Linked DNA regions of Mus musculus. The main gene of each other region encodes a partner of the protein of the gene in region 2 in a complex. Links are inferred from orthologs where the notes say so. Each region holds a gene or a part of one and is shown on either strand. Other genes may lie near its edges. The genes, in order: Prpf38a, Ik and Smu1.

Evidence for each region.
Region 1: Ik (region 2) and Prpf38a share a complex: the UniProt entries of both Homo sapiens proteins name them as parts of the spliceosome B complex. The link is inferred for Mus musculus from reciprocal best matches to the Homo sapiens genes IK and PRPF38A.
Region 3: Ik (region 2) and Smu1 share a complex: the UniProt entries of both Homo sapiens proteins name them as parts of the spliceosome B complex. The link is inferred for Mus musculus from reciprocal best matches to the Homo sapiens genes IK and SMU1.

The regions. Positions count from the first base shown.
Region 1 is NC_000070.6:108,569,217-108,572,868, forward strand, and holds part of Prpf38a (pre-mRNA-splicing factor 38A), read right to left. Parts: coding exon 3,590-3,652; intron 1,051-3,589; coding exon 940-1,050; intron 1-939. UniProt on the Homo sapiens protein: Involved in pre-mRNA splicing as a component of the spliceosome.
Region 2 is NC_000084.6:36,747,645-36,751,296, reverse strand, and holds part of Ik (protein Red), read right to left. Parts: intron 3,134-3,652; coding exon 3,074-3,133; intron 2,747-3,073; coding exon 2,579-2,746; intron 2,427-2,578; coding exon 2,312-2,426; intron 2,084-2,311; coding exon 2,013-2,083; intron 1,907-2,012; coding exon 1,860-1,906; intron 194-1,859; coding exon 30-193; intron 1-29. UniProt on the Homo sapiens protein: Involved in pre-mRNA splicing as a component of the spliceosome. Auxiliary spliceosomal protein that regulates selection of alternative splice sites in a small set of target pre-mRNA species. Required for normal mitotic cell cycle progression.
Region 3 is NC_000070.6:40,740,851-40,744,502, reverse strand, and holds part of Smu1 (WD40 repeat-containing protein SMU1), read left to right. Parts: intron 1-344; coding exon 345-472; intron 473-1,361; coding exon 1,362-1,488; intron 1,489-3,652. UniProt on the Homo sapiens protein: Involved in pre-mRNA splicing as a component of the spliceosome. Regulates alternative splicing of the HSPG2 pre-mRNA. Required for normal accumulation of IK.

The DNA.
Region 1 (3,652 bases), on a different chromosome or scaffold from region 2:
ATTTTTTAGTTTTAGAGATAAGGTCTCACTGTGCAACTCTAGCTGGTCTCAAACTCACAGAGCTGTTTCTGTCTCTCTAGAGGGTTCAAATTAAAGGCATGTGTCACCACGCCAAGCATTTCTTATATGTCCTTCTGGTTCTTGCAGTGTTTCTTAGAATGTAATTGCAAATGCTTTAGAGCAGTTACTAGAAGCACTCCCACATTTCCATCATTTTAATGGCTGCTTAAAAATCATTTCAACAATCGACCTGACTCCTTACATCCTGACTGCTGAGGTGGGTTGTTTTCCACTTTTCAGCACTATAATTATTAATTCTGACAAAATATGACTATGTAGCAGGTAACTTCTCCCCTTAAGAGTATGTTCAAGCATGTTTTGTCCAAGTTTTTTGATAGCTACCATTCATTTACCAATTATGTGGGAATATACCTTCATGAACACAAAACAGTCTTCAGAGAAAAGTACTGTACTCCTCCTTGCTTTACAGAAGACAAGCAATCTAACGCAGCAGTAGAGACTGAGTGTACCTCAGGGATAGAATATGCATTCAGCATAAGTGACACTGTGGATGCAATCAATCCCTAACTCAAAGGGAGAAAAATCAGGACAATTAAGACTATACCACTACTATGACAGAGAAGAGGTATTCAAGCCAAAGGGGTATTTGACACCAAAGCTCCTAATTTTAGTAAGAATACAGCATTCTTATTTTTTAGGCACAGGCCTGTGATCCTACTATTCCTGAGGCAGAACTGAAATGTCTTGCTAGTCTTATCCACACACTAGAGCTCTCCCTGTCCAAAAGGAACCCAAAAGTAATTAATCCACAAAGAATGTAAAAAGGAAAGGTTATCATTAATTTACAAACTAAAGCTTACAAAATAAGGGCTATTCCTTCCTTCCTTCCCAGCCTTACCACTTTCATACATGCCTTACCTTCTCATCTTCCTCCTCCTCTTCCTCACTAGACTCCACATCATCCATGTCCTCTTCTAGGGCACTAACTCGAGGCTCCAGTTGCTCAGCTTCTTCCAGCACATACCGTTTCTACAGGGACCACAACGTCAACAGTCATTGCCATTTCTTCCATAGCCTGATCCTAACAGAGTTTCTGGGGTTGACAGAAAAGCCTTGGAACCACAGCTCTGGTATGATATTAATATACAGTGGAATCCATATGCCTCCCCTTTTAAAAAAGATTTATTCACACAATATGTACTCACTGATAAGTGGATATTAACCCAGAAACTTAGGATACCCAAGATATAAGATACAATTTGCTAAACGCATGAAACTCAAGAACAAAGACCAAAGTGTGGACACTTTGCCCCTTCTTAGAATTGGGAACAAAACACCCATGGAAGGAGTTACAGAGACAAAGTTTGGAGCTGTGACAAAAGGATGGACCATCTAGAGACTGCCAGATCCAGGGATCCATCCCATAATCAGCCTCCAAACGCTGACACCATTGCATACACTAACAAGATTTTGCTGAAAGGACCCAGATATAGCTGTCTCTTGTGAGACTATGCTGGGGCCTGCCAAACACAGAAGTGGATGCTCACAGTCAGCTATTGGATGGATCACAGGGCCCCCAATAGAGGAGCTAGAGAAAGTACCCAAGGAGTTAAAGGGGTCTGCAACCCTATAGGTGGAACAACATTATGAACTAACCAGTACCCCGGAGCTCTTTACTCTAGATGCATATGTATCAAAAGATGGCCTAGTCAGCCATCACTGGGAAGAGAGGCCCATTGGACTTGCAAACTTTATATGCCCCAGTACAGGGGAACGCCAGGGCCAAAAAGTGGGAGTGGGTGGGTAGGGGAGTGGGGGGGAGGGTATGGGGGGACTTTTGGGATAGCATTGGAAATGTAAATGAGGAAAATACCTAAAAAAAAAAAAAAGAGTAATTCTAAAAAAAAAAAAGATTTATTTATTTACTATATGTAAGTACATCATAGCTGTCTTCAGACATTCCAGAAGAGGGTGTCTGATCTCATTATAGATGGTTGTGAGCCACCATGTGGTTGCTGGGATTTGAACTCAGAACCATCCAAAGAGCAGTAGGTGCTCTTAACCGTCGAGTCATCTCTCCAGCCCCTCCATATGCTTTTTAAAGGTCCCCTACAAACATAAACAGATTGCTGAAGGGAACAAGTTCATTTTCAATTGTTTCTATTTCCTGTGGTCTTATACTGTAAGGTCAATACATTGTCAATCAATTTGTGTGTCATCAAAAATGTTACCTTCAGGGCTGAAGAGATGATTCAGCTATTAAGAGAACTTGCTGCACTTGGAAAGGACCTGAGTTCAGCTCGAGTACCCACATGGTGGCTCACTAGTTCCAAAGGATCCAATGCCCTCTTCTGGCATTCTCTGGTAGAAGGTGAAAATTGATTGTCCTCTGGCCCCTATATGCCCTGGCACATTCACACACCCCCAGCATTAATAATGATTAATTAAAATAACATGAAAAGTAAATGTTTTAATTTTATAAAGGCAAATTTGCTCATTTGTGTGTGTGACACAAATACATGAGTCTGCAAATACACATGCCAGCTTACCCATGCCAGAATAGGGCCACAGTGTCTTCTGTTGCTTCCCAGTTTAGTTCAGTGAGAGACAAGTCTTTACCTGAGCAGGAAGCTTGCCATTTTGGCTATACTATCTGGCCAGCAAGTTCTAAACATCTGTCTGTTTCTGCCTGCCAAGCTTGGGTTATAGGTACTTAGCAGCCATGCTTTTTACATGGGTGCTTGGGGACTTGAACTCAGGTCCTTATGTTTACAGATCAAGCACTCTTAACCACTGAACCATTTCGCTAACACTGGGCGGTTTTTGTTTGTTTTGTTTTTGTTGTTGTTTGTAGGGTTCTTTGGTGGTGAGGCTTATTTGTTTTTTGAGATGGTCTCACCATGAAGGCTTAGTTGTCCTAGAGCTAGAGCAGGTTTCCAAGTGCTGGGACTAAAGTCCAGCACCACAATTATTATGCCTGGCACAATAAACTTTCGGTAAGGTTGTTTAGTTCTTTCAATATTTTACAATTTTATCTGTGAAGCACATATGCCAGAGTGTACATGTGGATGCTAGGTTAGCTGATCTGTAAGCTTTTGGCATTATCCTCCGTCTTCCTTCTGTGTGGGTTCTAAGGATATGAACTCAGAGTGTCAGGCTTGTACAGCAAGTGTTTTACCCACTAAGCCATTTTCTCAGGCCTAAAGGTTCTCCTTTTTTTTGTTGCTTCATGAATAGTTATCACTTTGGGTGTGAAGGAAGATGATAAACAAGACACAAGACGTTTAAAGGATTGAGTGTTTTCTTTCTCATTCTGAGTGATCTTTCTTCTGTTTCTTAGCCTAGCTTACCAATTTGAAAAAACAATACTCCAGGTATATTTGGGATAAGACATCCTTTCCTCTATTCATTTTCAAAGCCTACCCATGAAACATTACCTGCTTTTATCTCATTCCCTACCCTTTGTAAATTTTGGTATAAGGACTTATTAAGACAACTCTTAAAGCTTCAGTGTTTCAGTAGGTATTTGTGTTTATGTGAGAAGTAAAAGGTGACCTTTGTCTCATACCTGTAGCCGGGGCAAAATGATATCACAGACTCTCTCACTGTGCAGGAGTTCATAAATGAACTC
Region 2 (3,652 bases):
TGACGGGCTCTCAGAACTTGGTTACTCACCTCCATAGTGGGGCAATCAGCTTTGCTGCGTATGAGAGTGGTGGGGATATCTGTGTCTGCGTACTCATCATCCAGGTCTACTACATAGGCCATACGTCCTGGTAAGAACAGCTCATTTCGCTCATATGATTTACTCTTGAAAAGCATCCGATACACATTCCGGCCTATATAAAGAAAAAGATATTCAAACAGCCAGTGTAACTTCCATTGTTACAGTAGTCATTTATCACCTACTCTGTGCTAAGCATCAGCTGCTCTACCACAGTACATCTTCAAAAAACCCTATGCTGTCAGATAAGCATTATTACTTTTTACTGGCTAAAATACTAAAGCTGCCACACAGTGGTGGTTAATGCCTTTAATTCCAATTCCTTGGGAGGCAGAGGCAGGTGGATCTCTGTGGGTTCAAGGCCAGCCTGGTCTATAGAGCTATTTCCAGATTAGCTAGGGCTACAAAAAGATAACCCTTCTCAAAACAAACAAGCAAACAAACAAAGAATATAAAGCTAACCCAGGAGTAGTGACACAAACCTTTAATCCCAGCACTCAGGAGGCAGAGGCAGGTGAATCTCTGTGTAGCCCTGGCCATCCTGGAACCCACTCTGCAGACCATGCTGGCCTCGAACTCAGAGAGATCCATCTGCCTCATGCACCAGCTCCACTAAGCTGGTTTAAGATTTTATTAATGACAACAGAAAAACACTTCATTGCAAGCTCATTATATACACTTTTATGCATTTCACTTCTCTTTATTTCTAAACAATCACACAGGTACACGTTAAGCTAACTTTATATACAAGAAAAGTGAGCAAAGTACACACCTAGTGGGATTTCATCAGAAGGAATCAAATCCAGGTCTCTCCACATTCTTTAATCTCTAATCATGCTACATTCTTTTCATGTGTGTACACGTGAAAGCCAACAGTCATTTGCAGTGTCAGCCCTTAAACACCATCCTCTTATTGGTCGGGAGTTCACCAAGTTGACTAAGCAGGCTAGTCAGCAAGACCAAGGAATCCACCTGTCTCTAAGCCCCCAGCATTGAAATTATAAGAGCACCACCACACCCAGCTTTTATATATGGGTTCTAGGTATCACTTCAGGTCTTCCTGCTTGAGCTTGTAAAAAGATACACTTTACCAACTGAATTATCTCTCTAGTCATCCATGCTACCTTCTCTATATTTTTGTTATTTTGTTATTTATGTTCAGCTTTTAAAAAATTAATTGGCTTTATTTGTTTACTCTTTCACTTACTGTCTTTGAGATGGGAGTCTCATGATGCAGCCCAGGCTTGCCCTACTCTTAGTCAAGACCATCTTCCCAAATGCTGGGACTATAGGTATGCATCACTATGCTATCAGTTATTTTGAGTTTTTCAAAGCAGGGACTTGCTAATTACCCAATGCTGGCCTTCAACTGGCCATCTTCCCACTTCAGCCGTGTGAGCTCTAAGTCTACAAGGATGCATCATCACTTCCCACCTATCCACCCTTCTCTGATACACACATAGAAAAGACATGGAAAGGCTCCTGTCTAACTGAAGAGACATAAATGATATGAAAAATAATTAAGTCTATGTCTGGGTCCACTGAAAATGGACCCAGACATAGACTTTCATGCCAGGTGGTGATGGCCCATGTTTAATCCCAACACTTGGGAGGCAGAAGGAAACAGATCTCTGTGGGTTTGAGGCCAGAACTACAAATTGAGTTCCAGGACAGCCAGGGCTACACAGAGAACCCCTGTCAGGAGGAAAAAAAAAAAACCAATAAACTTCCTTATAATCCACATAAAATGCAATCACTACTATAGAGACTACACTACTCACCAAGGCGTGTTTTAAATTCAATTTTGTTCTCAGGATCCTCATCTTTCCTAAAAATAGAAGAAGAAAATATTGGGGGGTGGGGCAGTATAAAGAACAGAAAATGTCCACTGTAAGTGCTCACTTCCACTGTCAAGCCCTCTCCTGCTGACTCACTTGGTTTCCTTTTGGGGCTTTTCCATGAGTTCCTCTTCCTCCTTCTCTTTGCTGGCAATCTCAGCGCGCACCTGACCAAGTACACAAGTGTAAAAGGAAGGAAGGATCCGGGCCCTTAACCACACTAGGGTGACAGACAAGAGAAGACTTCCCCAAGGAATTCAGTCACAAGTTCTACAGACAGGGCACCTATAATTCTTCCGCCAAACTAATGGTCTGGACAATCATGTGTCCTTCACTTTACAAATGTCCAAACATGAACACTAGTATTTCTCTCCACATCTTCAAATAGAACTCACCTTTTGAAGCAACGCAAAATCCAAACCTTTCACCAAATGGGTGTGTTCCATATCACCACCCAAGAATTTGGACTCCTGAATCAACTGTCTTCTCTTCTCTGCTGCTGATTTGTCCCTGAATAATGAAACAGCCATGTTAAAAGAGTCCTTTATGAATGACAAATTCCTTCTGAAATGTCAGTGTGCTGCAGAGTAGGTTAAAAAACATATAGTGTGACTGTGTCTCTGATAGGGTGAAAACAGGCCTTAGGATCCCCCTTTACTCACGCCTCAGCAGTGGGGCCCACAGCCCTGTAGTTGGCTGTGGTACTTATCAGCTCAGTTTCCTCATAGTCTTTGTTCACACCATCTCTCCGTTCCTTGGCACGGTCCCGGTATTTCTCTGCGAGTTCTCTCTCTCTCTCAATTTCTTGCTGGCGAAGCTTGGCATAATAACTGTGACCAGAGAAAGGAAATGTACAGCTTACCAACTCCTATATCAAGGCCAACACAAATGTTCCTTTTTCCCTATACCTTTAAGTAGCTCTCTGTGGTGAAAACTATGTATGTCCTGATAGAACTGCCAGTCAACTCTTGATTGTCATCAACCTCAGAAATTCAGTTTCCTCTAACGCAGATTTTCTTTTTGACTACTACCACATGCCCTCTCAGAGATGTACCTGCACGGTAGGAAACCCCCCGTCTGTTACTAGACAACTCCTCTACTCCTTTGCCCACAAACTGTGCTCCCTTACAAAGCAATCTCCTCCACTATCCCTTTACCTTTTCTTTTTCCTCCTTCGTGCAGCTGGGTCTTCATCCTCATTGTACTCCCTTGGCATCCTAAAAGATACAAGAAACTCACTCATAGGAAAATTATGCCCCAGCCCTTAAAACTCACAAGGCATTGAGAACACATCAGAGGCTGAGATAACAGGATAAATTCAAGGCCAGCCTGAACTACATGGTAAAGTCCAGTCAAGTCTAGACAATGTCTCAAAAGAAAAGAAAAGAAAAGAAAAGAAAAGAAAAGAAAAGAGCAGAACAGCCAGTTGTGACAGCACACACCTTTGCGCTCAGCACTCAGTAGGTCTCTGTGAGCACAAGGCCAACCTTGTCTACACAGTGACAAGGCTAGCTAGCCAGCCATGGTTATTTAGTCAGACTATTCTTAAATAAGAGAGAGAGAAAACAAAAATAACAAAATACAAAAACCAGTGCTGATCAGGCAGTCATAATATTATCAATACCTGTATCACTCAAGTTTTCAAAAGTATCATAAATATTTAATTGACATTAACATTAGACACCAATCAAAAAAACCCGTTGTAGACTATACAGTAATAATAACAGGCCCAGAAA
Region 3 (3,652 bases), on a different chromosome or scaffold from region 2:
GTCAGAAGATTCTTTTTTTTTTTTTAATTAATTAATTTATTTATTTTTTTGGTTTTTCGAGACAGGGTTTCTCTGTATAGCCTTGGCTGTCCTGGAACTCACTTTGTAGACCAGGCTGGCCTCGAACTCAGAAATCCGCCTGCCTCTGCCTTCCAAGTGCTGGGATTAAAGGCGTGCGCCACCACCGCCCGGTGCGTCAGAAGATTCTTTATCCTCCCCTTTCCGCCTTAGCCAGGCAGATTGAGCCGTTGGCCTGCAGCTTGATGCTGCCTTGGTCTGTTAGCACTGTGTTGTGAACTGTGTCTGCTAACACTTTATTCACATGTTTTATTTTCTTCATAAAGGTTTGGAAGATTCAGAGTGGACAGTGTTTGAGAAGATTTGAAAGGGCACATAGTAAAGGTGTCACCTGTCTAAGCTTTTCCAAGGACAGCAGTCAGATCCTCAGTGCTTCTTTTGACCAGACAATACGGTAAGAGGAATCCCTGAACTGTCTTCCTGAAGATTTGATAAATAGACGAAGGCCCCCGAGAGAAGAAGTTCCAGTGTGTCTATGATGTTTCCAGGATGGGGTGATACAGATAGCAAGGGTGTGTGGGGCTCATTGTCCCCAGTTCAGGTGGCACAGCACTGTTCTGTTTGAGTTGTATCCAGAAGAGATTTGAAAGGGTGGGATAACAGTGTTTCATGTTTCTTAGTGTGTGGTGTGTGAAGCTAGGTGTGGAGGTGGAGGCTTGGACTCTCAGCCCTTGGAAGGCAGAGACAAATAGACCATGAGCCGGGCGTGGTGGCGCACGCCTTTAATCCCAGCACTCTGGAGGCAGAGGCAGGTGGATTTCTGAGTTCGAGGCCAGCCTGGTCTACAGAGTGAGTTCCAGGATAGCCAGAGCTATACAGAGAAACCCTGTCTCGAAAAACCAAAAAAAAAAAAAAAAAAAAAACAAAAAACCAAATAGACCATGAATCCTAAGCCAGCGTGAACTCCCTAGTGAAACTCTGTCTTAAAAACAAAAGTGTGGTCTGTGGCTCGACCTGTGTTATAATCACTTTAGAGGACAGTTTTACAAATTGCTGGGACACAGCTGAGATCACTAATTACTAATCTCTTATTTACTAGTCTCTTATTACTAATCTCTCATTTACTAGTCTGCACAGAAGCCTAGGTTACTGACATTTCTCGAAGTTTCTTACTGTGCAGTTTATATTGGTTTTGTTTCATTGTTTGACATAATAAAAATGATACTGTGTATAGTTCTTCATTTAATATTGTATAATGCTATTATAATTCATCTTAAATACATTCAACACTTTGCTTCCAGAAATAACATGCTGGATATTATTGTTTTACTTTTACTTGATAGAATTCATGGTTTAAAATCTGGAAAAACCCTGAAGGAATTTCGAGGCCATTCCTCCTTTGTTAATGAAGCAACGTTTACACAGGATGGACATTACATTATCAGTGCGTCCTCTGATGGCACTGTGAAGGTGACACATTCCCCTCCAGTCATTGTGGGCTGTCTGCCATGTGTTCCGTTTTAAGAAGGTATTGGTGGTCAGGATGGTGGTGATGCAGCGTGTGAGTCTGAGACCACGGTTCCTTACTGCTCTGTAGGGTCTGCAGTCCTAGAACCTCTAACTCATATAACCCAAGCTTTATCATGGAGAGAAAGAGTGAACTCAGTGATGCTGCCTTCATAGATACACGCAGTAGTTCAGTCTTCCCCTAGCTGTAAGCCAGTGCTTAGAGTCAAATCAAAAGTCTCAGTGACCAAGTAAATCCCTGTTTCTTGTGTTTCTCCCCAAGTTTAGGGCTTTCCTTATATTTGAAGAGGAGTAGGGGAAAGAAAGCGCACAAGTGTAGTGAAAGCCATCTGTAACCTTGGGCCTTTCCACCCACGCCCAGGTTCACAAAATAAGGCTCTGAGACTTCTTACATATGAATAAATGCCTAGGCCAACAGGCTTGGCTCTGTTCCCCAACCAGCTCATAATTATCTATTTATTCTAAGTTGTGCTCCATGGCTGGTTACCTGGTCCTCGGTTTCATGCAACTGTCTTCTGTGTCTAGGTGAATCTTTCATGCCGGAATTCTTTCTCTGTGCTGGATGCCCTGCCTTCTAATCATGTATCAGCTCACTTACCCGGTGGCTTTTTATTGACAGTTGAAGCTTCCATACATTGCACAAGAGACTATCTCTACACAGAAATAATAACTTCCCAGCAGGGGCTGGAGAGATGGCTCAGTGGTTAAGAACACTGACTGCTCTTTCGAAGGTCCTGAGTTCAAATCCCAGCAACCACATGGTGGCTCACAACCATCTATAATGAGATTGGATGCCCTCCTCTGGTGCATCTGAAGACAGCTACAGTGTACTTACATATAATAAATCTTTGAAGAAAAAAAAAAGAACCTCCCAGAAGTTGAATCTGAGGCAGTCCTGCCACGTGATCAGTGCCAGCCTAGGGTCTATGAGACCTTGTCTTCAAAAAACAAGGGACCAGGTGGTGGTAGCACATGCCTTTAATCCCAGGACTCAGAGGCGGAGGCAGGGGGATTGATCTCTGAGCTCGAGGCCAGCCTGGTCTACAGAGCTAGTTCTCAGGCAGTTGGTTACACAGAGAAACCTTGTCTTGAAAAACAAAACAAAACAAAACAAAACAAAACCAATCTAGTGGTGGGAGAGACAGCTCAGTGAATGAGTGGCCGCTGCTCTTGAAGAAGACTCCTGTCAGTTCCCAGCACTTACCCGGTGGCTCTTAAACACCTGTGACTGTAGTTCCAGTTGGCTTAGTTCTCTCTTGGTCCCTGGCGCTGGAGGCACTGGAGGCTGTGCATCCCACGAAGGCCAGTGGTACACTTGAATCCGTAAGTGGGAATACACGTGCTCAGAACTCTCCAGTACCCTTCGCCTGGCATAGCTCAGCCGAGGTATTTGCTCTTTCTCCAGTTCCTTAAAGATTTGCTTCTTTCAGAGGCTGGAGAAAAGGCTCAATGGTTAGGAGCATTTGCTGCTTCTCCAGAGAGCCAGGGGTTTGATCCTTGTACCCATGCTCTAGAATAGCCTGGGGAAGAAGGGAAGAAAAAATTACCCAGGAACGAAGCTATGGCTCAGTAAAGTGCTCGCTAGGCAAACATGAGGACTTACGTTTGATTTCCAGCACCCCATAAAAGCTGGGTGCCAGTAATCCCAGAACTGGGAAGGAGACAGGGCAGTCCCTGGAGCTTTCCAAACAGACATTTCATCTGAATCCTTAAATCCAAGTTCAGTGAGAGATCCTGTCTCAGCTTACAACTGTCTGTGTCTTCAGTTCCAGGGGATCAGGTGCCCTTCTGGCCAACTCAGGAACCTGCCTATATATGGCCTATGCTTACACAAACACTTTATTTATTTTCTCACTTATTATTTTGGTGTTTTGAGACAGCCTCACAGTGTAGGTCTGGCTGTCTTGGAAGACCAGGCTGGCTTTGAACTCATTTGAGATCTGCCCACCTCACCTCTGCCCCACCCCCACCCCCCAGCTAAGCTGCTAAAGTACCCCAGGCTGGCCTCGAACTCAGAAATCTGCCTGCCTCTGCCTCCCGAGTGCTGGGACTAAAGGTGTGTGCCGCCACTCCCAGTGTGCCCTTTCTTTTTCTTTCTTTTTTTTTT